Linked DNA regions of Xenopus tropicalis. The protein of the gene in region 1 interacts with the protein of each later gene in a pairwise test. Links are inferred from orthologs where the notes say so. Each region holds a gene or a part of one and is shown in the gene's direction. Other genes may lie near its edges.

Evidence for each region.
Region 2: the proteins of egfr (region 1) and megf6 interact in a protein complementation assay, tested with the Homo sapiens proteins (2 studies listed by BioGRID and IntAct). The link is inferred for Xenopus tropicalis from reciprocal best matches to the Homo sapiens genes EGFR and MEGF6.
Region 3: the proteins of egfr (region 1) and map4k1 interact in a protein complementation assay, tested with the Homo sapiens proteins (3 studies listed by BioGRID and IntAct, with this or other methods). The link is inferred for Xenopus tropicalis from reciprocal best matches to the Homo sapiens genes EGFR and MAP4K1.
Region 4: the proteins of egfr (region 1) and sh3bgrl3 interact in a protein complementation assay, tested with the Homo sapiens proteins (2 studies listed by IntAct). The link is inferred for Xenopus tropicalis from reciprocal best matches to the Homo sapiens genes EGFR and SH3BGRL3.
Region 5: the proteins of egfr (region 1) and adrm1 interact in a protein complementation assay, tested with the Homo sapiens proteins (2 studies listed by BioGRID and IntAct). The link is inferred for Xenopus tropicalis from reciprocal best matches to the Homo sapiens genes EGFR and ADRM1.
Region 6: the proteins of egfr (region 1) and prkce interact in a protein complementation assay, tested with the Homo sapiens proteins (3 studies listed by BioGRID and IntAct, with this or other methods). The link is inferred for Xenopus tropicalis from reciprocal best matches to the Homo sapiens genes EGFR and PRKCE.
Region 7: the proteins of egfr (region 1) and gpm6b interact in a protein complementation assay, tested with the Homo sapiens proteins (2 studies listed by BioGRID and IntAct). The link is inferred for Xenopus tropicalis from reciprocal best matches to the Homo sapiens genes EGFR and GPM6B.

The regions. Positions count from the first base shown.
Region 1 is NC_030682.2:56,891,676-56,895,175, forward strand, and holds the end of egfr (epidermal growth factor receptor), read left to right. Parts: intron 1-336; coding exon 337-436; intron 437-969; coding exon 970-1,340; 3' UTR 1,341-3,382; downstream 3,383-3,500. UniProt on the Homo sapiens protein: Receptor tyrosine kinase binding ligands of the EGF family and activating several signaling cascades to convert extracellular cues into appropriate cellular responses.
Region 2 is NC_030683.2:101,692,163-101,695,662, forward strand, and holds part of megf6 (multiple epidermal growth factor-like domains protein 6), read left to right. Parts: intron 1-446; coding exon 447-578; intron 579-965; coding exon 966-1,094; intron 1,095-1,687; coding exon 1,688-1,819; intron 1,820-2,629; coding exon 2,630-2,758; intron 2,759-3,500.
Region 3 is NC_030684.2:80,455,411-80,459,442, reverse strand, and holds the start of map4k1 (mitogen-activated protein kinase kinase kinase kinase 1), read left to right. Parts: upstream 1-1,232; 5' UTR 1,233-1,313; coding exon 1,314-1,421; intron 1,422-4,032. UniProt on the Homo sapiens protein: Serine/threonine-protein kinase, which plays a role in the response to environmental stress. Appears to act upstream of the JUN N-terminal pathway.
Region 4 is NC_030678.2:77,348,180-77,352,405, forward strand, and holds the start of sh3bgrl3 (SH3 domain-binding glutamic acid-rich-like protein 3), read left to right. Parts: upstream 1-1,426; 5' UTR 1,427-1,473; coding exon 1,474-1,518; intron 1,519-3,343; coding exon 3,344-3,511; intron 3,512-4,226. UniProt on the Homo sapiens protein: Could act as a modulator of glutaredoxin biological activity. May play a role in cytoskeleton organization.
Region 5 is NC_030686.2:4,561,431-4,564,930, forward strand, and holds part of adrm1 (proteasomal ubiquitin receptor ADRM1), read left to right. Parts: intron 1-3,209; coding exon 3,210-3,326; intron 3,327-3,500. UniProt on the Homo sapiens protein: Component of the 26S proteasome, a multiprotein complex involved in the ATP-dependent degradation of ubiquitinated proteins.
Region 6 is NC_030681.2:19,558,191-19,562,349, forward strand, and holds the start of prkce (protein kinase C epsilon type), read left to right. Parts: upstream 1-1,359; 5' UTR 1,360-1,471; coding exon 1,472-1,819; intron 1,820-4,159.
Region 7 is NC_030678.2:105,717,909-105,721,104, forward strand, and holds part of gpm6b (neuronal membrane glycoprotein M6-b), read left to right. Parts: intron 1-963; coding exon 964-1,037; intron 1,038-1,794; coding exon 1,795-1,860; intron 1,861-3,196. UniProt on the Homo sapiens protein: May be involved in neural development. Involved in regulation of osteoblast function and bone formation. Involved in matrix vesicle release by osteoblasts; this function seems to involve maintenance of the actin cytoskeleton.

The DNA.
Region 1 (3,500 bases):
AGAGAGCTGTACAGGAGGAAGTAGTGATCTGGCTATTATGTTAGACATCTGGCCACTAACTATATTGAAAACATTTTTTATTTTGCGCAGTCTATCTATTTTTTACACTGAATTGTTCCTTTCAACCACAGAAGAACTGAATGACCCACACAAAATACTGTTGTTGGAAGTGATACAGTTTAGCCATAACTGCAATAATAACTAGGAAATAATGTATTATATAGACATTTTAAGAACTGCTGTTTATAAGGCCATTATGATGACAATGGTTAATATCTAATATTCATAGAGAAATATATCAGTATTTCTTTTCTCCTATTTTAAAATGTTCTGTAGGGACCACCTGTTAGAGAAGACAGCTTTGTACAAAGATACAGCACAGATCCAACAGTCATTTTGGAAGACAGCATTGATGATGAGTTCCTGCCTGTGCCAGGTTGGTATTTATTACAGAATAGAGAAAAACATTTCAGCCTTTATGTGTTCACATCAGGGTCATTTTCTGAGTGCTCATAGGGAAACTGAACCTCTGCATCTCTGTATGGCAACAGCCTCATGCTTTTACTTACAACAGTCTAACAAATCTTTAAGGCTGGACTATGTGCTGTCATGATGTGTGGTCAGCCCAGTAGGACATTTATTTTTTAGGTCCTAGAGATCAAAAATATTATTATATTATAATCTTATTATTAAGATTATTACTTATAAATGTCATATTATTAAGGGTATGTTTTGTACAGCAATTTTGGGTATTCCCAAATTAACATTCCTGCTGTAAGTATAATAATGAACAGTGTCAAATTATATATTTTTATTGTTATTTTTGATTATTGTCTTCTTTGGATTGGTGGGGGTTAATACTGACGCAGGCTTTCATACCTGTGGCTACAGGTACAAGAGAATCTTTTTCAAAGGAACAATAAACCAATTCTAATGGAAATAATTTTATATGTTTTCAATCTTTTTCAGAATATGTGAATCAGATGGTTCCAAAACCAATTGTGGAGACACAGACAAATGCAGTATATCAAAATTTGGTTCCACTGGGGAATACTGTGTCTCCTAAAGAGAACCTTTACCAGAATTCTCACAGCAATGGCCTTAATAACCCAGAGTATCTGAACACAGGCCATACCCTTGTACCCAAAACTGACTTTGACTATTCCTCCATCTGGGACCAAAAGGCTAACCTTCAGATTAACCTGGATAACCCTGACTATCAACAGGACTTCTTTCCAAAAGAACCTAAAACCAATGGACATTTTAAAATTCCTGCAGCGCAAAACCCTGAATACTTGGGGTTGGCACCTGTGAGCGATTATATTGAAGCTTCAGCATGACCACAAGGACAGATAACATTACTGTCACCCTCTTGTTTGGGAACTCAGATGGGTTTCTTTGGCCTTTGCAAGTATGTGAATAGCACTAGAACCCACTGACTTATGTACAGTACTTGTATACTTGGGCCAGGACATTGGAGGCACATTATGGATAAATAGTGGAACAGTAACTTGGAAGTGGCAAATGTTTTCTTCAGTGTTGCTTCAGCAAACCTTTTATATAGAAATTATATATAAATATAAATATTTTTTTTTATTCTGTACCAAAAAACATTCAATTTCTTTTTTTTTTTTTTTTTTTTTTTTATAACGTATAGCAATTATAGCACCTTTTTGTGAGTATTGGATCACATTTTGGCAAGATTCATTTTTAATAGCAAAACTGTCAGCACACAGAGGAGCATGTTTTGGTGGCAACACTTGGAAGAACAATTGTGATATCTGAAAATTTCCAATGACATTTCAGACGATAACAGACAGAAACTTGGAAATTTGATCATTGGACATATGAAAATACTAGATATTGTCTGTTATACGCAAAGAAAATAATAAGCTTGGCTTTATCTCTGGTTAATCCACATTCCTTCAGCTGTTGAAGAATTATAAGACCCTCATCAGCCACTGCCATTTGGGGAACCTTGGCCTTGCTTCGTCAAGATGCATGTATGTTTTTCAGATGTCTGTTTGAGTTTGTACAGAGTCATTATAAGTGTCCAGAATCATTAAAATGTCCACTCAGAATCTGTGTTTTGCATAGTGGCAAAATGCATAAGCAGCTTTCTAATATACATTAATGAATAAATATCAGTGGTTTCAAAGTTATTTGCAAATGTAACTGCAATTGAAAGCAGTGTTTGTTTATCTGTTCTCTGTATGTACACTTAGCTCTTCAGATCTGTTAATCACTTGGCTTCAGATATATTTTTTCAGGAGTCAAAACAAGCAGAGAATGTAAACAACAAGACAGATACTGCTTGCAGTAGCAATTGTCTTCACAAATAAATGGCCTTTCTTCTAAGCAGCAGAATATGGTCATGCAGTCTGTCATTGCTTACAATGATTGCACCTGTCAGCAGCAGATTTTGGACGAAAAATGGACAGTTAAGTAAATGGCAGGCTGCACAACCATGATCAAGATGTTCTCCATTGGCCGGAGAATACACCAGTTGTGCCATGGCCTAAATCTACAGAAATTTTTTTAAATCATGATTACTGGAAATTTAAATTATGTTTTGTTTCATTATGCAAAACATCTAGTAACAATTTTGTTTTACAGAACCGTGCCCAGCTTGGCCTAACTGCTAATATGTAATGAAACCAGATTATATCCAACTCTCAGACTATACATAATAAAAGGCAATATTTCTTGTCTGCACTTTAACCATGTTAGTATTTTAAGGCTTTAATAGAAAAATCCCCCAGTATTGATGTGATCATGTTTATTAAATCAAAAAAGTAAACCTGGGCACATCATCACTCATTCCCAGTACAAACATATTGGTTAAACTTAAATAATCTGTTGGTTACATGTCTTAAAATGATGGAAAAGCTGCTATATGGTGTGGTTAGTACTTTACCAACTAGCACAATAGTAAGTTCTAAGGATATATGCATTTAGGAAATACCTTTTAATGCATCACTTATTTTATATGGGATCAAAAACATCAAAACATTTATTAAAGATGTGAGATATTATTTTATGTTGTATATTTTCAGAATTAAACCAAGAATAATGTAGCTCATTGGCTGTATAAGATTGTGATGGGATTTATATAGAGGTTTCATACTGGCAGTATTGGGTATTCATTTGATCTCTTTTTTTGTGTGTGTCCGTGTTCATATAAATGTACACAAAAGGCTGAATGCTGGCAAAGGCATTAATCACCCTCTGTTTAATATGTCCTAATGAGAAGCAGGGACTACTACAGGAATTTATCTTCATGATCATAGCACAATATGTCAGATTATTCACGCAGTGATAAGTACTAGCCTGTGTATATAAGAATAAAACACAGATACCCTAGGTGCACTGGCAAACTGTATGCAAGTTGTGTTAATATCTTTTTGATTTCCCTGTGTGAATTGTGTCATTTCCCACAAGGAATTCATAGGTACACAGTTCTAAATTATTTGATTTATTTAATTAATTTAAACAAAAAG
Region 2 (3,500 bases), on another chromosome or scaffold:
AATAACAAATATGTGGATAATCAATCAAAGATTTAATCCCCTTTAGTTTAATTTGCACAGGAGATGATGCGGATCTCCAGGTTTCAGACATGATTTCAGACATTACAATTATCCCCTGTGGTACAATGATAGAGAGCTTACATATATTGTAGGAAGTATCAGCTGAGTGTCACAGGAGTATGGTTATTGTAGATCGCTCTTTAACCCCTGCGCTGTGGGACAATGTGCAGAATGTTTAAACAATAGCCCCTTTTTCAGATTCAGATACTGTATTATCATTTGATTTTATATTCTGTAAATCCACATACTTCTGCTACTTACAGGCAGCATATCAGAGCCTGCTGTTCCAGCATGCTGTTCGCCGTAAATAATCCTAGTGAAGAATTCACAAGTTGAATTGTGATCTGCACATGTAAACAGTTTCAATTCTTCCATGTCTGCCACAGATTGCCCTGTAGGACACTGGGGAGCTGGCTGCCAAGAGATCTGTCCCATGTGTGAAAACAACGGCACTTGTAACCCAGCGACTGGAGAATGTACATGCACGCCGGGGTACACTGGCAGCCTCTGCAAAGAAAGTAAGTACTACATGGTTATCACAGTGGCACGTGTCCAGATATCCAGTAAATTTGTCTCTGGTTTGTTTCAGGGATTATTATTGTTATTATTATAAACATAATAGGAGCCCTGTGGGTAGTAAAAGTACCTTTACAAAACCTTTATGGAAAGAAAACAAACAGAAAATAAAATACTGTATATATTAAATATATATATATTTGTGAAACCCTGATGATTGTGCTTATCCATAAAGATACAAAAGCCTTGTTTGTAGGCACCCAGTTGGTTTGCCAGCAGGGGTATCTGGTTATGAAAGTATATATATATATTGTGTTATGGATTGTTAATAGATAATAAATAAAGCATAAGTAATTCAGTGTTCAGTAAGTGTTTTTGCTTTCCTTTAGTTTGTCCTGCTGGTTGGCATGGCCAGGGGTGCCAGATGAGATGTGCCTGTCAGAACAATGGCCAATGTGACCCAGTCTCAGGAAGATGCACATGTCCGCCTGGCTGGACAGGCCATAACTGCAGAAGAGGTAAAATTGCCACCAATATTGGTCTATATGATCTCCAAAGCACCATACAGCACAGGGAGTGGCAGGCTCTAAGGTGTGATAGAAAAATTGTATTATAAATTTGAGCTGTAAATAATATAGAAATGCCCTGGTCTACAGGAAACCTTGGCTCTCTGAGAAGCAAATGCGCATTCATTGACCCTTTTTTTAAAAAGCTGAGCCAAGTAGTTGGCTTCCAAGGCTAGCCTGCCCACATGTCACTGCCATAATAGTTGCACCACCCCAAAGTGAGTACTATGCACATGCTTCTATTGCTTACCCCTAGTTCCAGCCCCGCTTTCTTGTATTGGTTCTTTTTTTGTCTCACAAATATACCTTTTGCTTCCTTCTGGTTTAAAATTCATTGTGTGGGCCACTCTTTCAAGAAGCTGTGACCTTTTTCACACTCCAGAGAATTTACCTGCTGTTAGTTTAACAAAACCATTAGATTAGGAAATTTTTCAAATTTTGAGGTTAAAGGAGAGATGATTTATGAAATTAAATGCCATTTTGTTTTAACTAAGGCTGAGAAGCACTCAATATAGATTTCATTGTCTTTTTTCCCCCCAATCCAGCATGTGATTCAGGGCACTGGGGAACAGATTGCCTCAACCCCTGTAACTGTAGCAACAGTGATGGAAGCTGTGATTCAGTGACTGGACAGTGTGTCTGTGAATCAGGATACATAGGGCTGAATTGTGATCAAAGTAAGTTAGCCATCCGCTTGTGAGATAACACTGTGTATTTCATGCTGTTGTATTCTTACAAATAGAAAGCAATTAAAAGTGAAAGCTTAAAATAGACTTAGAGACCTAGGGGGTCATTTATCAATGCTGAGAAAATTTGCCTGTGGGCAATAACCCCTGGCATCCAGTCAAATTGTTGTTCTGCCTGCAGCTGGCTGAAAAAATACATTCACTGATTGGTTGCTATGGGTTACTGCCACGGTCAAATTTGACAGGTGTTAATAAATGAGCCCCTAGGATAAGAGAGTTATGTAGTAATATGGTAAAAATATAGACCTATGCATTAACCCATAGTTGCCAATCACACTTTGGTGGCAATTATTCTAACTGCATAGACCTATCAGCCTGTTTACTACTGGTTATTACTAGACAGTTGCATATTATATCTGTCACTTTACATGTAGCTATGTAACTGAGCAGCTAATCAGAGGGATAACATGGAAAGTTACCTATCATTGGAAGAACTTAAAAAGATGTAGGAAATGTATTTAACCATACCAGCAGGTTGCAACAGGATTGGGGGGGGGGTGTAAGGCAGTGCAAAAAATTAAAAACAATATCAGGGTGTCCAAAGATCTGCAAACAAAAGGTTCTTACTATTACAAAGTTTTATTAATGGAATAGTCTGCAGTAAGCCATTGTGAAAAATGACTCCCCTAGCTTCTTATCATCTTGGAATAGTTATCTGTTGAGTTCATAAGGTATTATCTTTTCTCATTAGTGCATATTAACCAGTTTAGTCTGACCATATATATGCTATCTTCGCCATAGAATGTGCCGAGGGCTGGTATGGCTCAGACTGCAGGCACCCATGTCAGTGTGATAATGGTGCGGTTTGCGACCATGTGAGCGGGGCTTGCACGTGCGCAGCAGGATGGAGAGGAACATTCTGCGAGCTACGTAAGTATTGATTCACATGCAGCTAAGAATATTAATATCCTTTCAAAATTTTCATTTATGATATGCAGTACATATGTTTTCAACATTAGAGAAAGGAATGAAAACACTGAGGAAGTTATTTTAAGTATTTAAAAATACTTCCTCTACTAATACAGGAAGATGGGCTTAGAGTGGTACAGGAAGGAATGTTGGAAGAGAATATGGGAGACACATTATATTATATTTATGAAATTTGGTTAAAAAAGAGCAGCCTTTTGAGTGGTATATTAGGGTATATGAATTGCTCGTTGACATTCCATAAAATATCTCAATCACAGTTGTAACCAATGGAATGGCAAATCCCTCAGTAGAATGTTTATGCTGTGGAAACGAGACCCTGTGTCTCAGCTATTGCCTTGGGCTATAAGAAAGACATGGTGTGCGTTAGTCACATAGAGGAAATAATCATTAAATGCTCAGAAATTCTCTTGGCTGCCTTCCATAAAGCCAAAGGCCATGTTATGTGAAACGGAACATGTACAGATAAAAGTAATGCTCAGTACAAGTAAAAGTAAGCAAATCATTCGCTTTATGTTGAAATGTTTGACAGAGCCTGTTTTCCAGTGGGGAATACTGAGAAAATGAATGAGTGTGGCAAGTCAGATAGACTGCATTTCAGTGGAAGTGCTGCACCTGTTAATGCACTTTCATTGCATTTATAGAATTTGCATGATATTTCTCCTTCCACCTCTTTTGTTAAACT
Region 3 (4,032 bases), on another chromosome or scaffold:
TAAAAGGTGACCCACAAGTGGGCGACCCCTGGAATGGGAGAGTCCTATAATTACCGCCTGCTTTTTACACCTTGTGGCAGATATTTAATCTGAGCAAGGTTCAAAGCATTGTTTGAATGCTACAGAAGGTTTTCTCCCCTTAGTCAGGCAAAATAAATTGTACTATGACTATTTAAATTTTATAAACCTCGTTTCCTTCAGTCTTGGAATTCACAATTACAGCAAAGCAGGCAGGTGTCATTTTGTGGGCACTGTTATTAAGACAAGCTTTGCATCATCCCAAAATGTTTTTTATACACCAAAATGGGGGAACTGATCCCCATGAACATACAGACGATACACAATTATAGACCATGAGTAGAGTGGGGGAATGTGAGGAGTGCAGTTATATCTAGAATGGAAAGTGAAAGTAACTGCCTGCCTCAATGCCTGGGGTATAGAGGTGGGGCAGGCAATATATGGTTGACAACTTAGATTTTCAAATAACTTTATAACAGGTATTTGATGTTTTAATTTAAAAAAAAAAAAAAAATGGGTTTAGTGTTTAATTTGGAATGTCTGGGTGACAGGTCCCCTTTAATGCTCCAGCACTTGCACCCATAACAGCTGTAACAGAGTACCAAAAGCAGTGTCTCTCACGCACCATAATGTAGTTCTGGTTCAGTCCGCCTCTCTAAGAAAAGAAACAAGAAAGGTCAGCATTGTAATCAGGAGAGAGGATGAGTAATGGCTGTGATCCTGTATAAGTTCTAACACAGTGATGGGGACCTGGGGTCTTTGCCTTGCTTAAAGCACCTCTGTTTCAGTGGTAAGGCAAGTTGAAAATTTATAACTTTTCTTTTTGAGTGGAGAGCCCAATAGCAAATTCTCCCCCTCCTGCCCTTCTTGGTGTGCTGGAGGCCAGCTTGATGGTTGGGTGGGAGATAGCAACACTGAAGCTGTATGTTCGGGCTTTTATAGCTAAATATTAACCACCTTGAAGTAAATAGATTTTATTAGAAGTGACCTGGTTAGTGGTGGATAATTTATTAGTGTAGCTGTACTTTCTGCTGCTTTTCCCAAAAGAACTGGAGGATAGGGGCGATATAATGTTTGTGACAGGGCGTGGCAGTCACCAGGATATGTGACTAAGGCAAGGAGCAGTAGCCTATGTGTGTGTGAAAAGGAGCAGGGGACCGGATGCTCACACACATCAAGTGTAAAGTGTTCAGCCTGTCAGGAAGCTACAACATTTATCAACACCAATCAATGTGAAGGCTGCAGCCTGTGCAGTCTTCCTGTGCTCATTCACTTGCACCCTGGCTGCCTGCAAGATGGATGTCCAGGGCCGTTTAACTTTAGATATATCGGACAGGGATCCTCAGGATGATTTTGAGCTAATCCAGAGACTTGGCAGTGGAAGCTACGGTGAAGTTTTTAAGGTAAAGGGGAATGTAAAATGTTACTAGGGTTTCTAGAAGAATTTGGGATGCTACTAGCCTGTATAAGAAAAGTGAATTTGTTTGAATAGTACATATGGTAATGCTGTATTTATCAAAACTTTAGGGATAATGGCTTTCTGGATAATTAACCTCAAACTATTTACATTGAACCATTTGCTATGTACATTTGGATAGGCCTCAGAAATTTGGATATGTAATGTATTGCTGCTTCATCATTTTAATCTGTCTTATTCTTCTATGGGTAATTGCATGCTGTATTACTTGCATGTTGAAAAAACATTAAAACTAAAATAAAATAATGAAAAAATATTTTGTTATGGTGGGTATACCGCATACCAGGGAGAATGCAGCTTAATCCTTCACCAATCCTTCCCTAAACTGCACCCAAAATGCTTGAAAGTCTGCGCCTCATGCTCACACAGGTCATGTCTAACTCTAGTTTCACCTCCAGCAGTGTTGCAGTTCTAGCTCTGTACTTGCCTTGCACTTGCTTTCTTGGTGAGTGGAACATATGACACTAGGTACCCTTTTGATGTATAGGGATATATTCTTAATTCAAATTGATATTGCTGTCTCGTAGTGCATATGCTATCACTGACTCCCTCTTTGGGAGTGCAGAAGTTCAAATGGAAAGTGGTTCTAGGACACTGAGGTAAGTAAGAGGCACAGATAGCTTCTCTGTGCTCTGTATAATACTATGTATCATAGTTTTAAATGTAGTATTGACAGTATCTCTTATTTAAAACCAGTTTGGCCTTTCTTTAAATAATGTCATTTTCACATGGGGGATAGTAGGTTAAGTGGTAAATTGGTTTACTGGAAATTGTTTCACATCTTATAATGTTTGCAAACATAAAGAGGGCTGTTTAATTGCTGACCCAGCAACACCATCATCTGTGTATCTTGGAGTCAGCTAAACAATGCCAGGCTTCATCTCGTACCTCCATTCTAACAGTGAAACCCTGTGCCTTTTTTGTGCCTCTCCCCCACCAACCCTGTCCATGCTGTGCATGCAGTTTTCTCAGAGCTTGCTTCCTGTGGTTCTCATCTAACAGGTGCACACACACAGAGCATCCTCTGGGCTTCCTGTAACTGTGCGCTCTGCTGCGCATACAGCTCTTCTCTTCCTTTGCAGGGCTTCAAATAATTAATGCTAATATGCTAATACCCTGCCTGCAAATAACCACCATTCATCACAGAAAGGACTGGTGGTACATAATGGAGTCTCAAAATGTGCGGTACAGTGACTAGATGGCTTATAACTTGGATAACACTAGATGCCATCCAGTCTGTATTTTAGCCTTGTGCTGAATATATCAAATGCCTTTTGCTTCAGTTACGAAAAATGTTATGTTTTTTATTATTTCCTGAGCTATACAGGACAAACAGGGAAATAATAGTTACTCCATGTTTGGTCTTTGTAAGGTAGATAATTATTTTATCAGTATTGCATCCCCTACCGGCTCCCTTTGTTGTGATGGTTTTTTTGTTTGTCCATTATGTAGAAGGATTATCTACTTCACAAGGACCAAACATGGGTCAGCTTCAGTTTCCTTGTTTAGCTTATGAAGTTACAAAAAACATTTTTTTTTTATGATTAAAACAGAATGCAAAAAGTGTGTTCAGGACAAGCCCTATTCCTTCAACTCATATTGAAAAATGGGGCATACTTTACAGGTACTTTACAGGTACTTTATCCTGTAATTTGTTCTGCATCACATTTATTTTGATGAATCATTTTTGGATGGCTGGTGCAGATTTATTATCTTAATTGTAAAAGATAGCTTTAAGATATTAGACTTAAAGGAGAAGGAAAGGTAAAAACTAAGCTTTATCAGAAAGGTCTATGTAAATACAGTCATAAGCACTTACAGTAATACTGCACTCTATCAAAAGAAACACAGGATTTTCTTTTTTATAAACATGATGTTCTAGTGTTTGACTTCCTCTCTCAGAAAGATCCTTAATTCCCGTGGCAAGAGTCTGCACAGTTCTCTCCTCGCTCCCCTCTCTTGCTCCCCCTTCCACTAGAATGCTAAGAACTCCCTCCCCCCTCCATTAGGAATGTGTGATCTGAGCTAGAGATGCAGGAAAGAAGCTACTTAAAATGGCAGCTGCTATCTTAAGCAAACGAAGAAAGCTTCTAAAGCTGTTTACTCAGGTTTAGTAATGGATTTTGCAGAATAAATATAGTGTTCTAGGTGGCACTAATGTGGCAAATCTATTGGCAGTAAAATGCCAAAATGACTTTCCTTCTCCTTTAATGCACAATAACAGGGAAAGTTGCAAAGTGCGAAAAAACAGATGCAAACTTTTTTGCACTTTTCACCATGTTTTCCTGGGATTTGTGCCTTATAAGCAAAGAGAACACAAAAATATGTGTCTACTGTGTCCAGTTCTGCATAGTGCATACTGTATAGGCAACAAATAGGTGGGATGTGGTTGTAATGTGCAAGGCAGATATGCCAGGGGTTGCCTGTGCCAGGTGCAGTCATTATGCATCTCTAAATTTGCTTGTGAAGTGTTATTTGAGAGGATTCAAATATTATGTATATAAAACAAATTGTTGTTACATAGCTTATTGCATTGT
Region 4 (4,226 bases), on another chromosome or scaffold:
TATTTGTGTGTATTTTAAAGTGACGCTATAACATAAAGATCTTCCACATCTAAATATGGGTATTGTAAAAATATAAATAAAACAATTTGTTTATTAAAAATGTAATAACAGATGTAACCAAAGCAACCTGGCCAATAATCTAATGAAGTTAGTTGTGGACAATGCTCTGAACCTAAGATCTTCTATCAACCATCTGAATATCTGCTGGTAGATCATATTCTCTGGTGGTTGCATTACTGGAGAGGCAGGAAGGCCAACACACACATCACATCATATTCTCCTATAACGGATGCCTGTAGACGATGAAAATCTCACACTATATTCCAGAACCAATTACAAAAACACCTCATGTGTCAAATTTACAACATCTCCATGTTTAACTTACAGCTCAAAGAAGAACACCGCATATTTGGACAAAATACCTTATAAGTATGTATATATTGAAACTGCTTAGCAGTCAGTGTTTCAATGGGACCCCTATATATTAATAGCCCTTAACCATCACTGGGCCTGCTTCTGTTATAGATATAACCTTGGAACCCTAGATGTTGCTATACCACGAGAATCCCTAACATAATAGCAAGCTAAAATGTTGGAAGTTGTGGTCCAGCGAGGGTTTCAACACAGGTGGTAGAAAATATTGAAAACCAAAATACCCCTGCCCCTCTTTACCATGTGTAAAGGGATAATTCACCTTTAAAGTAACATGAGGCAATTTGCAGATGGTCTTCGTTTATGATTGGTGGTGGGTGTTTTTCATTTTTTTTTTTTTTAATGCATTTTTAAAACATGAATGCCAATGCCACATAAAACACATAAAAACATCCAGGTGTAAAAGCCCTAAAGCAACTCCCTAGTTTAAAATGAAGATGGCTGCCTGGTTGCAAGGGGAAATTTACTCTAGCAACGTCCAGGCTCAGCCATTGATGAGCCAATGCAAAAAAAATTATTAGCACTTGTCTTTCTAATGATGAGAGACAGTTTATTTCTACATAAACTTTTTAATTCTGTTATTATTTACAAATATCTACCTTGATTTTGTTTCACATTGATTCACAGTAAGACAACCCAACTAATAAGCAATAATGTAAGCAATAATTGTCCTTGAGAGTAGAGACCACTAAGCCTTGTTTAACTCATTGCAATAGAAGTTGTAAGTTGGACACATCTTCCCACAAAACTAAAGCGTATGCCTATAGGTAAATAAGGGATAGTGGTATAACGTTTACTAAACAAAAGCAGATGGCGCCTAAAAATATAAGCATATACATACAGACGGGAAATATATAAGTTCCGTATACGAACATTAGCCGCTAGGTATAAGGAAGATACACTACACAAAAGCGTTTCTGGATAGGCTTAGGCAATTGTAGATAAGCGCAAAGTATGTTTTTGTGATTGGTCCCCTGCCTATCACATGGTGGGAGAGGCCGGAAGTACTGCTGCAGAGTAATATCACGGCTGGAGCTAAGGATGGTGGTGAAAGTGTATTACACGTCGGTAACCGGATCCCGGGAGGTGAGATTTCATGATAACATGCATTGACAAAAGTGGCGCTACGATGGATTGTGTGTGCAACTTGCGTTACAAATACTGCGTCTGCCTCTATATTGGTTGGGAGGGCTTGCTTCCCCGCCCTTATTTAGAAATGCCAGAATCAGTACCTTATTCCACCGAGGGAAATGTTGGCTTTAGAAATGGCCGAGGATTTTTAATTGCGTTTATTTACAACTTCCTGTAGTTGTGAAGCACTCCCTGTGGCATTTGCATTTAAATATATGTCTGGCACATTGGTTGATGCAATGCACAATGCAAACTTATCTTGGGACACAGCCAGCAACAAACTGCAGCTACTGCATTTGTGTTGTATCGCTTTCATTCAAATCATTTTGATATACTTGCATAGATAAAATGCAGGGAAATTCAGCTTTTGTGTCTTATATTGCAGGGATCAAAAAAGGGTATGATGAAAGACTACTGATTGCCATCCAATCAGAGGTCCCCCTAGTCTGTCTCTTACACATTGTCATCCTTTCTTGTTAGCAGCCACAAATACTGATTTAGAAACACTAATTGCTACATTGTGACATGTACGTATTATTTATGGGAAGTGCTCTTAACTCCTCTGTTGAAAATTGACAACATTAGTAACTGGTAGTAGAAGGTATTATTTTCTATAACTGCATGTTCATTTCAACATAAGCTTAACTCAGCACCTCGATAATATAGACTAGTTTTTCAACAATATGTGTATCCTTTATACCAGTGATCCCCAACCAGTGGTTCGCGAGCTACATGCTGCTCACCAGTCCGATGGATGTTGCTCCCAGGGGCCTCAAAGCAAGTGCTTATTTTTTTTTGTTAATTCTTAGCTAGAACACCCCCATGAACATTTTGCATGCCTGTGTGACTCTCCAAATTTTTTTTTATATCTGAATGTCACTCACAGGTTAAAAAAGTTTAGGACCCCTGTATTATACAAAACAAACACATATTTCCTCTAGTGTACGTCTTCTATTTTACCTTCCACAGTGCTCTATGTGTCCATATAGTCTCAGTGCATGGGCGTTTTCTTGCTGCTTGCCAGCGCTTGTGAAATCTTTATACGAACACACCTTTCATATTGAGCTGTTCTTGGTTTATACACGCCCTCGGCTCTAATTCTAAACTGCATCTAAATATATCTTTTTTTTTTTTTTTTTCAGTGTCTTTTTTTACTGTTGAATATGCCACATGAAAATATGTATTGCCCTCTCTGAAAGAAAATAAAAAATGAGCATTAGCATAGCCTTGTTTCTAAATACCACGGTGTCTTTGCATAATTCCTTTCTCAAACAGCATACTGCAGTGCTGCGTTTGAACTTTGTGCAGTCTGTGGGAAACAGTCCAAGCAAGCAATACTACATTACTATGTTATGCAGAATAGCACTTTTGAAGAGTGAGTGAAATATATTTGCTAATAATTGGGCATCTCCTACTGGCAGAGTGTTTGGTGCAGCAGTTGATATTAGCAGAGATACCTTACTTTTTTGCAGGATATACACTGACCGCCTACCAGCTTACAGAATGTACTTCAGCATTCAGGCCAGCCCTAGTGTCTGTGCACTAAATAAATTATAAAAAAGGAAGTGGGGCAATCCCTGAAAATGCAGAAGACACACAATACTTTTTAGCCTGTTGGCCTTTGTAAAGAACTTCCTTAAATAATCACAAACTGGGTTTTTTTCCTGTGACTGAATTTTTTTTTCTCACTTCCTATTATGAACATCTGTGCCCAATTATGTTGTAAACACTTGCCATAATTTTACTACTACTAATGTATCTATATATGCTTAATTTTTAGATAAAGTCTAAACAAAGTGAAATCACTCGTATCCTGGATAGCAAATGCATTAAATATGAGACAGTGGATATCTCTGCGGATAACAATATCAGAACAGAAATGAGGCAGATGTGTGGGAACCCCAATGCATTTCCACCTCAAATCTTCAACGATGACCAATATTGTGGGGTAAGTGTGTTGCCATTTTGTACTCCATAAGCCAATGGCTTGGAAGGCAAGTTTTTTTTGCATGTGAACCGCCAAACAGAGCCTTCTGCAGTCTGCCAGTCCACATAGGGGCTACCAAAGATCCAATAACAGCCCTTATTTGGCACCCCCAGGTACATTTTTCATGCTTGTGTTGCTCCCCAACTTTTTTTTACATTTTAATGTGTTTCACAGTAAAAAAAGGTTGGGAATCCCTGCCATAAGTTAATGTCACAGCAGGTATAATCATCTTCTATGTACTTTTAACCACCTGCTTTGTGACCAATGGGAAGGAGGTACGGACAGTTTGAGGCATTTCTTCGCTGGCACATATTCCTAGCTATTGGCTTTGGCTAATGTCACATGGTGTATCTCCGCCAGCTCCTTTTTGCTGACTAAGCATGTCATTGTTCACATGGGTAGGGATTTTGACCTGAAAACTGTAAACTTTGAATGGGTCCAGAAAAATACACACAAGGTACCTAACTGCTGTTTTATAGACAGGTAGGCTACTTCAAGTAAAAATATATAATTTTTTATGAAAAAAAATAGGCTGGACAAAAAACTAAATGCCACAACATCAGTAAGAATTTTAGGGCATGGTGTACTGTGTTATGTATTGTAAACTAAATGTAGAATAAAATGCATGATGGTGCATTTAATTATGGGTTTGCATACATAATATTAAATGTCTTGA
Region 5 (3,500 bases), on another chromosome or scaffold:
TTTTTAGAGCGAAAGAAAAGAGAGAAATACAAGGAGACACCCAAACAGGTGGTCCCTGTCTAGACTTCAGAATTGTTGCACCGTTAACCCCAAAGAAAGAGAAAAGAGGTAATTCACTTGATCAGGTGTTGTAGGACATTAAAACTTAACCTTTATTGGTAAAAATTAAAAAGGTGAAGTATATCTTAGAATAATATTCAATTAAAGGAGACATATCCTATAAAAATGATGAATGTACCAGGGAATTATACTCCTCTAGATATAGAAGGGTTGTGTTTCTGACTGATTTATTGAGAAATTCCCCCAAAACCCCACTAGCCCCGCCCATCTGTTCCACTTCCTGCTGGCTGAATTCTCTGGATGAGCTGGGGAGCCGGCGGCACTCAGTACCCTGCACTGTAGGATAGGAACAAATCAGCAGCTAGGCTGACCTGATAGGGAACTGAAGCCTGTCTTTGCTTGTGTGACTGCAGGGCTGTGATTGGCTCTCCCCCTCCTACTGTGCTTCTGGCAGGGACCGTTAGGCCACGCCCACTCTTCATTTCAAACTCGGACAGAGAAGTGAGAGGATCTATAGGGAGCTCCAATAAAGGGGCCATTGTTACAGATAGGGTTAATGTTTAGCCCAAAGGGAAACCAGCACCGGATATTATTCATAATTGCCTACAAAATTACCTTTTTTTTTCCCCATTTATCCAATATGTCTCCTTTTAAAGTACAAACTATGAGGTATTATAAGGCTGCTCAGAGTTAACCTGCCTCATTCAATTCACTAAATTGTTACAGCTTAAAAAATAACTATTGTATCAAACACTCTCCACAAACCCACAGCCCTATAGAGGCAGCCAAGGAGAGATTGCAAAAAAAAAACGCCGGCAACAATTGTTGCAAAATTGTTGCCAAACAAGGAGAAGTCGAGTCCAGTTTCCTTATGAGCTATATTAACTGCTGGGACAGGGTAGGGCAGTGTTTTTCAACCTTTTTTGGGCAAAGGCACACTTGTTTCATGAAAAAAATCACGAGGCACACCACCATTAGAAAATATTAAAAAATTTAACTCTGTGCCCAGCAGCAGTGCCCCCCTAGTACACTGGTGCCCAGCAGCAGTGCCCCCCTAGTACATTGGTGCCAAGAGCAATGCCCCCCTAGTACATTGGTGCCCAGCAGCAGTGCCCCCCTAGTACATTGGTGCCCAGCAGCAGTGCCCCCCTAGTACACTGGTGCCCAGCAGCAGTGCCCCCTAGTACACTGGTGCCCAGCAGCAGTGCCCCCCTAGTACATTGGTGCCAAGAGCAGTGCCCCCCTAGTACATTGGTGCCCAGCAGCAGTGCCCCCCTAGTACATTGGTGCCCAGCAGCAGTGCCCCCCTAGTACATTGGTGCCAAGAGCAGTGCCCCCCTAATACACTGGTGCCCAGCAGCAGTGCCCCCCTAGTACATTGGTGCCAAGAGCAGTGCCCCCCTAGTACATTGGTGCCCAGCAGCAGTGCCCCCCTAGTACATTGGTGCCAAGAGCAGTGCCCCCCTAATACATTGGTGCCCAGCAGCAGTGCCCCCCTAGTACATTGGTGCCAAGAGCAGTGCCCCCCTACTACATTGGTGCCCAGCAGCAGTGCCCCCTAGTACATTGGTGCCAAGAGCAGTGCCCCCCTAGTACATTGGTGCCCAGCAGCAGTGCCCCCCAGTACATTGGTGCCAAGAGCCAGCCCCCCTAGTACATTGGTGCCCAGCAGCAGTGCCCCCATAAGTCAGTGTGCCCCGTGGCCCCCCCTAATACATTGGTGCCCAGCAGCATTTTACTTCTGCTCTTCGGCGGCTTCAGCAGCATCTTCCCCTCACGCGCGCCAACTCTGCACTTCTGCCTACACGCGACCGCACACAGGCCCTTTTATAACGGTGCGCCCCGTGCGTACTGACGTCACCCGTACACACGGGGCGCAACCAATGACAGGGCCCGGATTTTATTAAAGGGGGCCCGAGCTACTAAGAAAAACTGTAGCATCGCCGGGCCCCCTTTGAAAGTAAAAATTGCGGCCCTGCCTACGGCACACCAGGCAACACTAGTGTGCCGCGGAACAGCGGTTGAAAAACGCTGGGGTAGGGGATTCAGACCCCGTCATAGCTGTGTTAAAGTACAGAACTCTTTCAGCTATAGGCTGGAATTCAGCCATTTTCTGTGCCCACCACCCCACCATAGATTGAGTACAGGTAGCTCAATGTTGCAGCCGAACCCCGTTTTTTACATTGAGGCACCTCCGCTTATAAAATGCACATCAGTCGTGCAAACAAATCAGCCCACCCTTCCCAGAGTCCCGCATCAACACCCGCTGCACCCCCCCTACAAGCCCATACCCTGGTAAAAAATGATAATATAGGAATGGAGAGAGCTAGCACCGTCCTCACTAACTATACACATTCAAACCATAGCCATCTACACTCCTATCTTGAAGTTGTATGAAATGGTAACGTGCAAGAGTGGAGAGTGTTTGATACAATAGTTTATTTTTTAAGCTGTAACAATTTAGTGAATTGAATGAGGCAGGTTATAATACCTCATAGTTTGTACTTTAATTGAATATCACCCCAGGCGATTTTTAATGGGGATTATTCTAAGATATACTTCACCTTTTTAATTTTTACCAAGTTTTAATGTCCTACAACACCTGATCAAGTGAATTGCCTCTTTTCTCTTTCTTTGGGGTTACCGGTGCAACAATTCTGAAGTCTAGACAGGGACCACCTGTTTGGGTGTCTCCTTGTATTTCTCTCCTTTTTTTCTGTATAATTTTACTTCAGTTGCACGTTACCTCCGTGTTCTCACTCCATTTCATACAACTTCAAGATAGGAGTGTAGATGGCTATAATTTGAATGTGTATAGTTAGTGAGGACGGTGCTAGCTCTCTCCATTCCTCTTTTTAGAGCGCTAAGGCAACATTCCCATAATGCACCAGGCCAGCAATCCGTCGGAGTCAATAGTCCTGCACACAAAAGGCTTCAAGCCAGGTGAAGGCACTCTCAGACCTGGGCAATTAAAGTGCCGAGACTGCTTTTAGCCAGAGACCGTGGGAAAGCTCTCGCTGCGCACAGCCAGTGGCCTTTAGAAAGCAGCCATTGTATACAAACCGAGGCCATTCTGTGCAGCCGATACTTCACTTAACCGTATTGACCGCGTTTAGCTCACCCTCTCCCCTTGTGTTTGTCTTTTACAGGATCTGATCATCTTTCCAGACGACTGTGAGTTCAAGAGAGTGTCGCAGTGCACCACGGGGCGCGTGTATGTGCTCAAGTTCAAGGCCGGCTCCAAGAGGCTCTTTTTCTGGATGCAGGTTTGTTTGTTCCTTCTATAATATGTTAAAGGGGTGGGTCACCTTTAAAGAAGAAAGAAAGGTAAAAACTAAGCTTTATCAGAAAGGTCTATGTAAATACAGCCATAAGCACTCACAGAAACGCTGCACTGAGTTCTCTGTCAAAAGATTTGTTGTGCCTGTTTTCCTCTGCCA
Region 6 (4,159 bases), on another chromosome or scaffold:
TTAATTACTTCTTTTTACGTACTATTACCCACTACCTTTCCCCCAATTTCTTCTCATATAGATTTGTGCAATAGCCATAGGATAGGTATACAAAGCAGATGGTTGGGTGAGCAAGAGGGACCCATTCACTTCTGGGCCCACCGGGAGTTTTCCTGGTATACTGGTGGGCCAGTCCGACGCTGACTGTAAATCCCAGTGCAGTTATACCTACCTACTGTATTTATACATCATACAACATAAAAACAAAATTAAGCCGCTTTCCCATATACAAACCAAAGCAGTATTTGAAACAATGCAGCCCATGTACCCACTGGCCTTCCCTGCAGGAGTGCTACATCCGCTCCAGAGTCAGAACCAGGGGTGCAGAAACCACCACACACTGCTTTCAATGGCAAATAACTTTTAAAACTATTAGCCATTTTGTTAATGAAAGTATTGCTTAGAATGGCAGTGGCTTTCAATGAGGCAGACTGATGTTTGGCTTTATATCCCCTTTAAAATAAAGAATTGCCCCCCCCCCCCCCCCCTGCCCCCTGTGGAAATGCGGAGGGATCAGTGTTGCATGTATGTGTGTGATCTGTTACAGATATTGTGTATTGTGTGAGATCCCTGCCTTTCTCTCTCTCTCTCACAGACACACACAGACACACTCACACACAGACACACACTCACACTCTGACGTCTTTTGTGCATTTCCTGCATTACAAGGAGAGGGGAGGAGAGCTGGGGTGTTGCTAATCAGCGGTGGAGGCAGCAGTGGCAGCGGCGGTACAAGGCATCCAAGCGGGGAGCTACCCAGAGCCGTCTCCCTGCAGCCGAAGCCCAGCCCGGAGCAGCGGAGAGGTCCCCGGGGCATGTGGGTGAGGAGGATCCCGATTGGGCTGCGGCTGTGAGAGCGAACTGCCCGGCTGGGGCTGCTTGTGGGGGAGAAGGTTGTACTAAGACTCCCAGGGAGGCAGGGGGGGGGGTGCGGCTGCTCACAGGCAGCATTTTGGCAGGAAAGCCCGGATTGCACCAACACCTCCGAGCCCCCCTCCCCATGGATGAGCCGATACGGTAGGTAGGAGAGCAGCCGGCCGGGATTAGTGCTGGATTTGCACCCCCCCTTGTTTTCCCGTTAGCGAAGCCCATGTATCCAGCGGCTGCCGCAGCGCTGCGAGTGGAATAAGGGGGCAGCGGATCGTTCTATTCCCGCACCCCCCCCCCCCCCAGCGGGCTGCCCATAGGGACATGCAGAGGTGTAACTTGGATTGACTGCGCCCACGTCTTGCCCAGTCTGTGGCCATTGAACCTTAGGGCCACATAGGCGCAAGCCCTAGCGCTAATGCCCCTTTTCATTTACTCCTCTCCATCTTAATGCATAGGAAGCCACTAGCTGTGGCCCTTACACTTGTCTGCCAGTCTGTGCCCTAATTGCCCTAGTTACACCTCTGCTGGGAGGCAACCCCATCCCCAGACACCTTGGCCCACCATGGTTGTATTTAATGGTTTGCTGAAAATTCGGATTTGTGAGGCGACCAACCTGAAGCCCACCGCCTGGTCCCTGAGACATGCCGTGGGCCCCCGACCCCAGACCTTTCTGCTGGACCCCTACATTGCTGTCAATGTGGACGACTCCAGGATAGGACAGACCTCCACCAAGCAAAAGTCCAACAACCCCACCTGGCACGATGACTTCTCTACGGACGTCTCCAACGGCAAGAAGATCGAGCTGGCGGTCTTCCATGATTCCCCCATAGGGTACGACGATTTTGTAGCCAACTGCACCATCCAGTTTGAGGATCTACTGCAAAATGGGAGCCGACACTTCGAGGACTGGGTAAGTGATGGCTTTCACCCATCCATCCATAATCTCATTTGCTGCACTCTATAGACCTGCTCTATAGCTGTTCCAGAGCATGTAGTATTTCTATACAGTTTAAGGGTGAAGGCACACAGGGCTGCTTAGTAGCAGCTACTTGTCACGGCTACTAAACTCCAGAAAATACCCTGCCATAGACAATACTGAGAATTGCCTCTGCTAAAACCCTTGTAGAGACAGTTATCAGTAAATGATTAATATTGTCTATTTTAGTAGCTGTGACAAGTAGCTCCGTGCATCTTTAACCTAAAGAGTTTTGGGGTTCAGCTTAAAAAAGCAACTGGAGGGCCGTAGCTCAGACACCACAGGTACAGAACTTTATTAGGGGTGCTGAGTTATAGGGCATATGTGTATTATAGGGCTAGGGTAGCATTAAGGCTACTTTGTGACAGTGGTTAACAAAAAAAAAAAGGGAAAATGGAATCCCTTCCCTGCAAATCCGGCAATTGCCCCCTACTCTGCCTATTGTTGTACTACCGGAGCGTGGAGGAAATCCTCTAATAAGGAATGACAGGGCTTTTCCTTCGGCACACTCTGCTTGTGGGCCGGTGGCAGAGGGCACTAAATCCCCGTGCCTTGCATGCAGCACTTGTCTTTGTACCCAGGAGGTGCCAGTGTTTGCTTGGGCATCTAGCAAAGGGCCATTTGGCAGAAACTCTCTACTGAAATATAAATGGCTGTTTGAGTTAGTGCTGGGCGCCCTGGCAGTGGCTTTGCTGGCCTAGTGGGCAGGGGGGCACATTGAGTACCAATCAATGAACATTGAAATCACAGCAGTGTAAAAAGCATCTGGTAATCACAACCTATAGCCTACACTACAGTATATGTGACTGTGGCACGTAGATTATTTAGGGGGAACAACAGCACATGTAGCAGGGCAAGAAATACCCTCTGGGAAGGAGCCACAAGTCATCAGTACCTGTAGCATTGTAGTGAATATACCCTGGGAAAGGACCACAAGTCATTAGTACCTGTAGCATTGTAGTGAATATACCCTTGGAAAGGACCACAAGTCATTAGTACCTGTAGCATTGTAGTGAATATACCCTGGGAAAGGGCCACAAGTCATTAGTACCTGTAGCATTGTAGTGAATATGTTTCAGATGTTTCAGGTTACCATGTTGGTTAACCACGGAGCTTGCACCCAACATACGTTATGGCAGTGCAACTGCTCTGTGGGTGTCAGAAGCAACACTGTGCGTCATTTCAGTCAAGTACAAACCAAACTGTCATGGGGCATCTGAATATACCCTGGGAAAGGGCCACAAGTCATCAGTACCTGTAGCATTGTAGTGAATATACCCTGGGAAAGGGCCACAAGTCATTAGTACCTGTAGCATTGTAGTGAATATACCCTGGGAAAGGGCCACAAGTCATTAGTACCTGTAGCATTGTAGTGAATATACCCTGGGAAAGGGCCACAAGTCATCAGTACCTGTAGCATTGTAGTGAATATACCCTGGGAAAGGGCCACAAGTCATTAGTACCTGTAGCATTGTAGTGAATATACCCTGGGAAAGGGCCACAAGTCATTAGTACCTGTAGCATTGTAGTGAATATACCCTGGGAAAGGGCCACAAGTCATCAGTACCTGTAGCATTGTAGTGAATATACCCTGGGAAAGGGCCACAAGTCATTAGTACCTGTAGCATTGTAGTGAATATACCCTGGGAAAGGGCCACAAGTCATTAGTACCTGTAGCATTGTAGTGAATATACCCTGGGAAAGGGCCACAAGTCATTAGTACCTGTAGCATTGTAGTGAATATACCCTGGGAAAGGGCCACAAGTCATCAGTACCTGTAGCATTGTAGTGAATATACCCTGGTAAAGGGCCACAAGTCATTAGTACCTGTAGCATTGTAGTGAAAATACCCTGGGAAAGGGCCACAAGTCATTAGTACCTGTAGCATTGTAGTGAAAATACCCTGGGAAAGGGCCACAAGTTAGCAGCACCCAAACTAATGCTGTCAATATCCCATGGGAAAGGGCCCCAAATCAGCTGCACCTCACAATACATACCATCAATACCCTCTGGGAAGGGGCAAGCAATCAGCAGCACTTTGCAGCATTGCAGTAAATATACTCTGTGAAGGGGCCACAGATTAGGAGCAGCCACAGTTAAAGCAGAGAATGCCTGCCTTCTGATTAGGGATGCTGAATGAGGGAGTACAAAGTGGGTCGGATTGGGCTCAGAACACTTTATATAGGGGTTGTCCATCGTTTCATCAGGGAGTTGTAGGTTAGAACTGACTGTAAGATGTGGGGCAGCTCAGGTCTGGCTGTGGGCTCTGCTGCC
Region 7 (3,196 bases), on another chromosome or scaffold:
CATACCACCCAAATGTGCACTAACCTATATCATTCTGTAGTAAGTGCATTTGCTTTTGCAGTCCCTGCTTTAGTGAGGCTACTGGTGCCTTTTCTTACTGTTATCTGATCTATCTCTACGCACCTGGTTATTGATATTTGGAAAACATTTTAGGAACCATGTGGTGCTTGTTCCCCTGGTGACTGGACTTTCATTGAAGTACTGGAGGTATTAATACTAAGTAGAGATAAATACAGTGACTCCTGAAGTGATGCAGATACAGTAATTATACTCTAATAGAGGGACTACAAGACCTGAAATACTGAGAAACATCCTGTGAGGCACCAGTGAATAAGAAAGTCCAGGTAGAACAGGTGTCCTGTATGGCCAGGAAGCTGCCCACTTCACTTTACAGTGAAGAAGAGATCTCTAGACCACTATGTTTTCTGAAGATGGGGAAGTTGTATTACTATAATATTTATTGTATTACTTAATATTTGCTGCTGTTCCTTTAGAATGAAGCACGTTTGAAGCACAGCTGTTATTCTAGGGATAACATAGCTGTGTTAAACCATAGCTCTCAGGGAGGCAGGGGATACTGGAATTGTATTGGTAGCAGCTACAAAAGCCATTGGCCAGTGCATATTTTTACATTAGTATGATTTTTTAGCCTGACCTTTCTTGTGATAGACAATAAAAATGTTTTTTTTTTTTTTTTTTTTTACCGCAAGTAAATGTGATTTCTTTAGACTCTGCAGGCCCATTGGGTCTCTGCAGCTTTTCACACCGAGAGCTGTCTGAGTTAGAAGCATGGGCTGGCATATTAGGCGCACTGCTGAAAATGTCATCTTTCCAAGCATCAAAGCAATCACTTTCTGTGTGGGTGCACGGAAAGGAACACAGATGGCAAGTGGGTGGAAGGGTAGAGGAAGGAATGTGCAGAAAGGAGGCTTTGTAACGATTTGCTTTCTCTTGTCTGTGTAGGTATCATTCCATGGAATGCTTTACCTGGAAAAGCATGTGGGCAAGCTTTGGAACAAATCTGCAATAGCAATGAGGTATTTTTATCTCAAGAAAATTCCTATGCATGGAAATTGTGATTATATGCCCCAGTGAAAAGTAAATACGATAGTTGTCCACTCCCATCCTCTTTTCTTTCTTCAAATACTTTTCCTTAGCGTGCATTATCTAATGGCTGCTGTAGTTCTAAATACCAAAGAGAACTTCTTTTTATATTACTGTTTTGTGGGGAAACATTTTGTCCCATATAGAGCTGGTGCAAAAAATACTATCTAACTTTTGAATACATGCTGAATAAGAGCAGTTATTTTCTGCTTAAGTCCACATATGCTGGTCCTTTAAAGAACCTACATGCCAGTAGGCTTTCCCTACAGTTTATAAGATCACCTAAAACCTATGATATCCCCTAGAATGGTTGGGTAACTCTAAGACTATTTTACACTGATCGTAAAGCCATAATAAGCGGAGCTATAAAAATGCATACAGAAAAAACCCTACCAATGTCAGTGATGTAGTGCTACATTAGTTTGTCAGTCAATGTCACTACAGATGTTGCAGAACCCTAACATCTGAGTTTTGCAGGAAAAATGGGCAGTGACGGCATGGAAAGGGGTTAGTTAGGGGCAAGTTAGGGCATGGTGAATGTGTCATGTAGAACTTTAGCTTTCAGAATCTGTCCTGTCTAAGCTGGGACCAGATGGTGGCACCTTTTCTTCTACATGAGTTTATGCCTGTTGCAGTCCATTCTTTAATAATACCTAATTGTCCTTTCTGTTTGATTATTCATTCCTTTAGTTCTACATGTCCTATCACCTCTTTATTGTGGCTTGTGCTGGAGCTGGGGCAACTGTCATTGCCTTGGTAAGTATCATCCTTGTCTGACTTTCTTAGGCTAGTAAGGTAATAGCTATTCCAGCAAATCAGAATTTCACCTCCCTTCCAAAAGTGATTTTATCTTAAGCATGAGAAGCATTTTAACTCTTTGCTTTTTGTAAAAGTGCTTGCCCAAATTCCTTTTTGCTGGGTGAAAATAGAAATGCATCAAATTCTCCGCTGCAACTAGTGCAGATCCTGTTTCCAGTCACATAATAATGGCAATGTTGCTCAGCTGGATCTCAAGCTATGGCATCCAACCCCTTACAGTATCTGTTGCACACAGGTGGTTTAGAAGAACAGCTATTTCAGTAATATGCCAAGGATGTGGAAATGTAGCTAGCAAATTGTGGCTTGGAAAACTAGATTTAAGAAAATAGGAATATAATGTGGGAGTATAATGTCTTTGTAGTACAGCATGTTGTCATACCACTCTCTATTGAGCTACTGTAACCTTTATAGCGCTGTGTCTTTTTCTTGACTGTGTGGGCATATTCCCACCTATGTACTTTTTGTTACTCCCTACCATTATGTGCAGCTTCCCAGTATAAGAAAATCAGGCCATGTACAAACAGTGGTAATTTAACTGTAGAATGGGAATAACTTTAAGAACTTCCCAAATAGGGTATATTCTTTAACACCAGTCCTAAAAGCATCACTTAAAGGTAAAATGTGCCCCTCTTTTTATTACATATTACTTATTAACATAAGTTAATTCAGTTTGGCTTATGTAGAAAAGGTGCATAAATACTATTTGAAAGTCAACCAAAAATATACGAGTGTACATTTTTACACAGACATATTTGATTCCACAGACTAAAAGGAAACCATTATACTTTTAAGAACCATTTCCTGCCCCTTAGACTCACAGTGTAATGCAGCTCCTCCTTTACCTTGTTCCATTGTGAGGTGATTGATTCTGAGACTTGAAGTCCCTCTGCTTTCCGTAGCAGGTGGAGCACATATTTTGTGGAAAGGGAATTCACATCCCAGAATAAATCATTTCACAATGGAACAAAGTAAGGGTGGGGTTGCAATCTACTGTAGACCTAAGGGGGTGTTACAAAATGGTCCTTAAGAGTATCCTGGTTTCTTTTCAACCTGTGGATTTGGGTTTGCCTGTGTAAATACAATTTCAGTGACATAAATGTATTTATACATGAAATTGTAAACATGTATTTTTTTTGCCAGTTTATATAGAGTTTATAAAAAATTTTGTTACATAAGCCCAGCAGAATGATATAAAAATAAAAACGTAACTATTAAACTGTATGCTTAACTGGGAAGTTATTAAAATGCAAATATAGAAATAATTGAGGGGGTT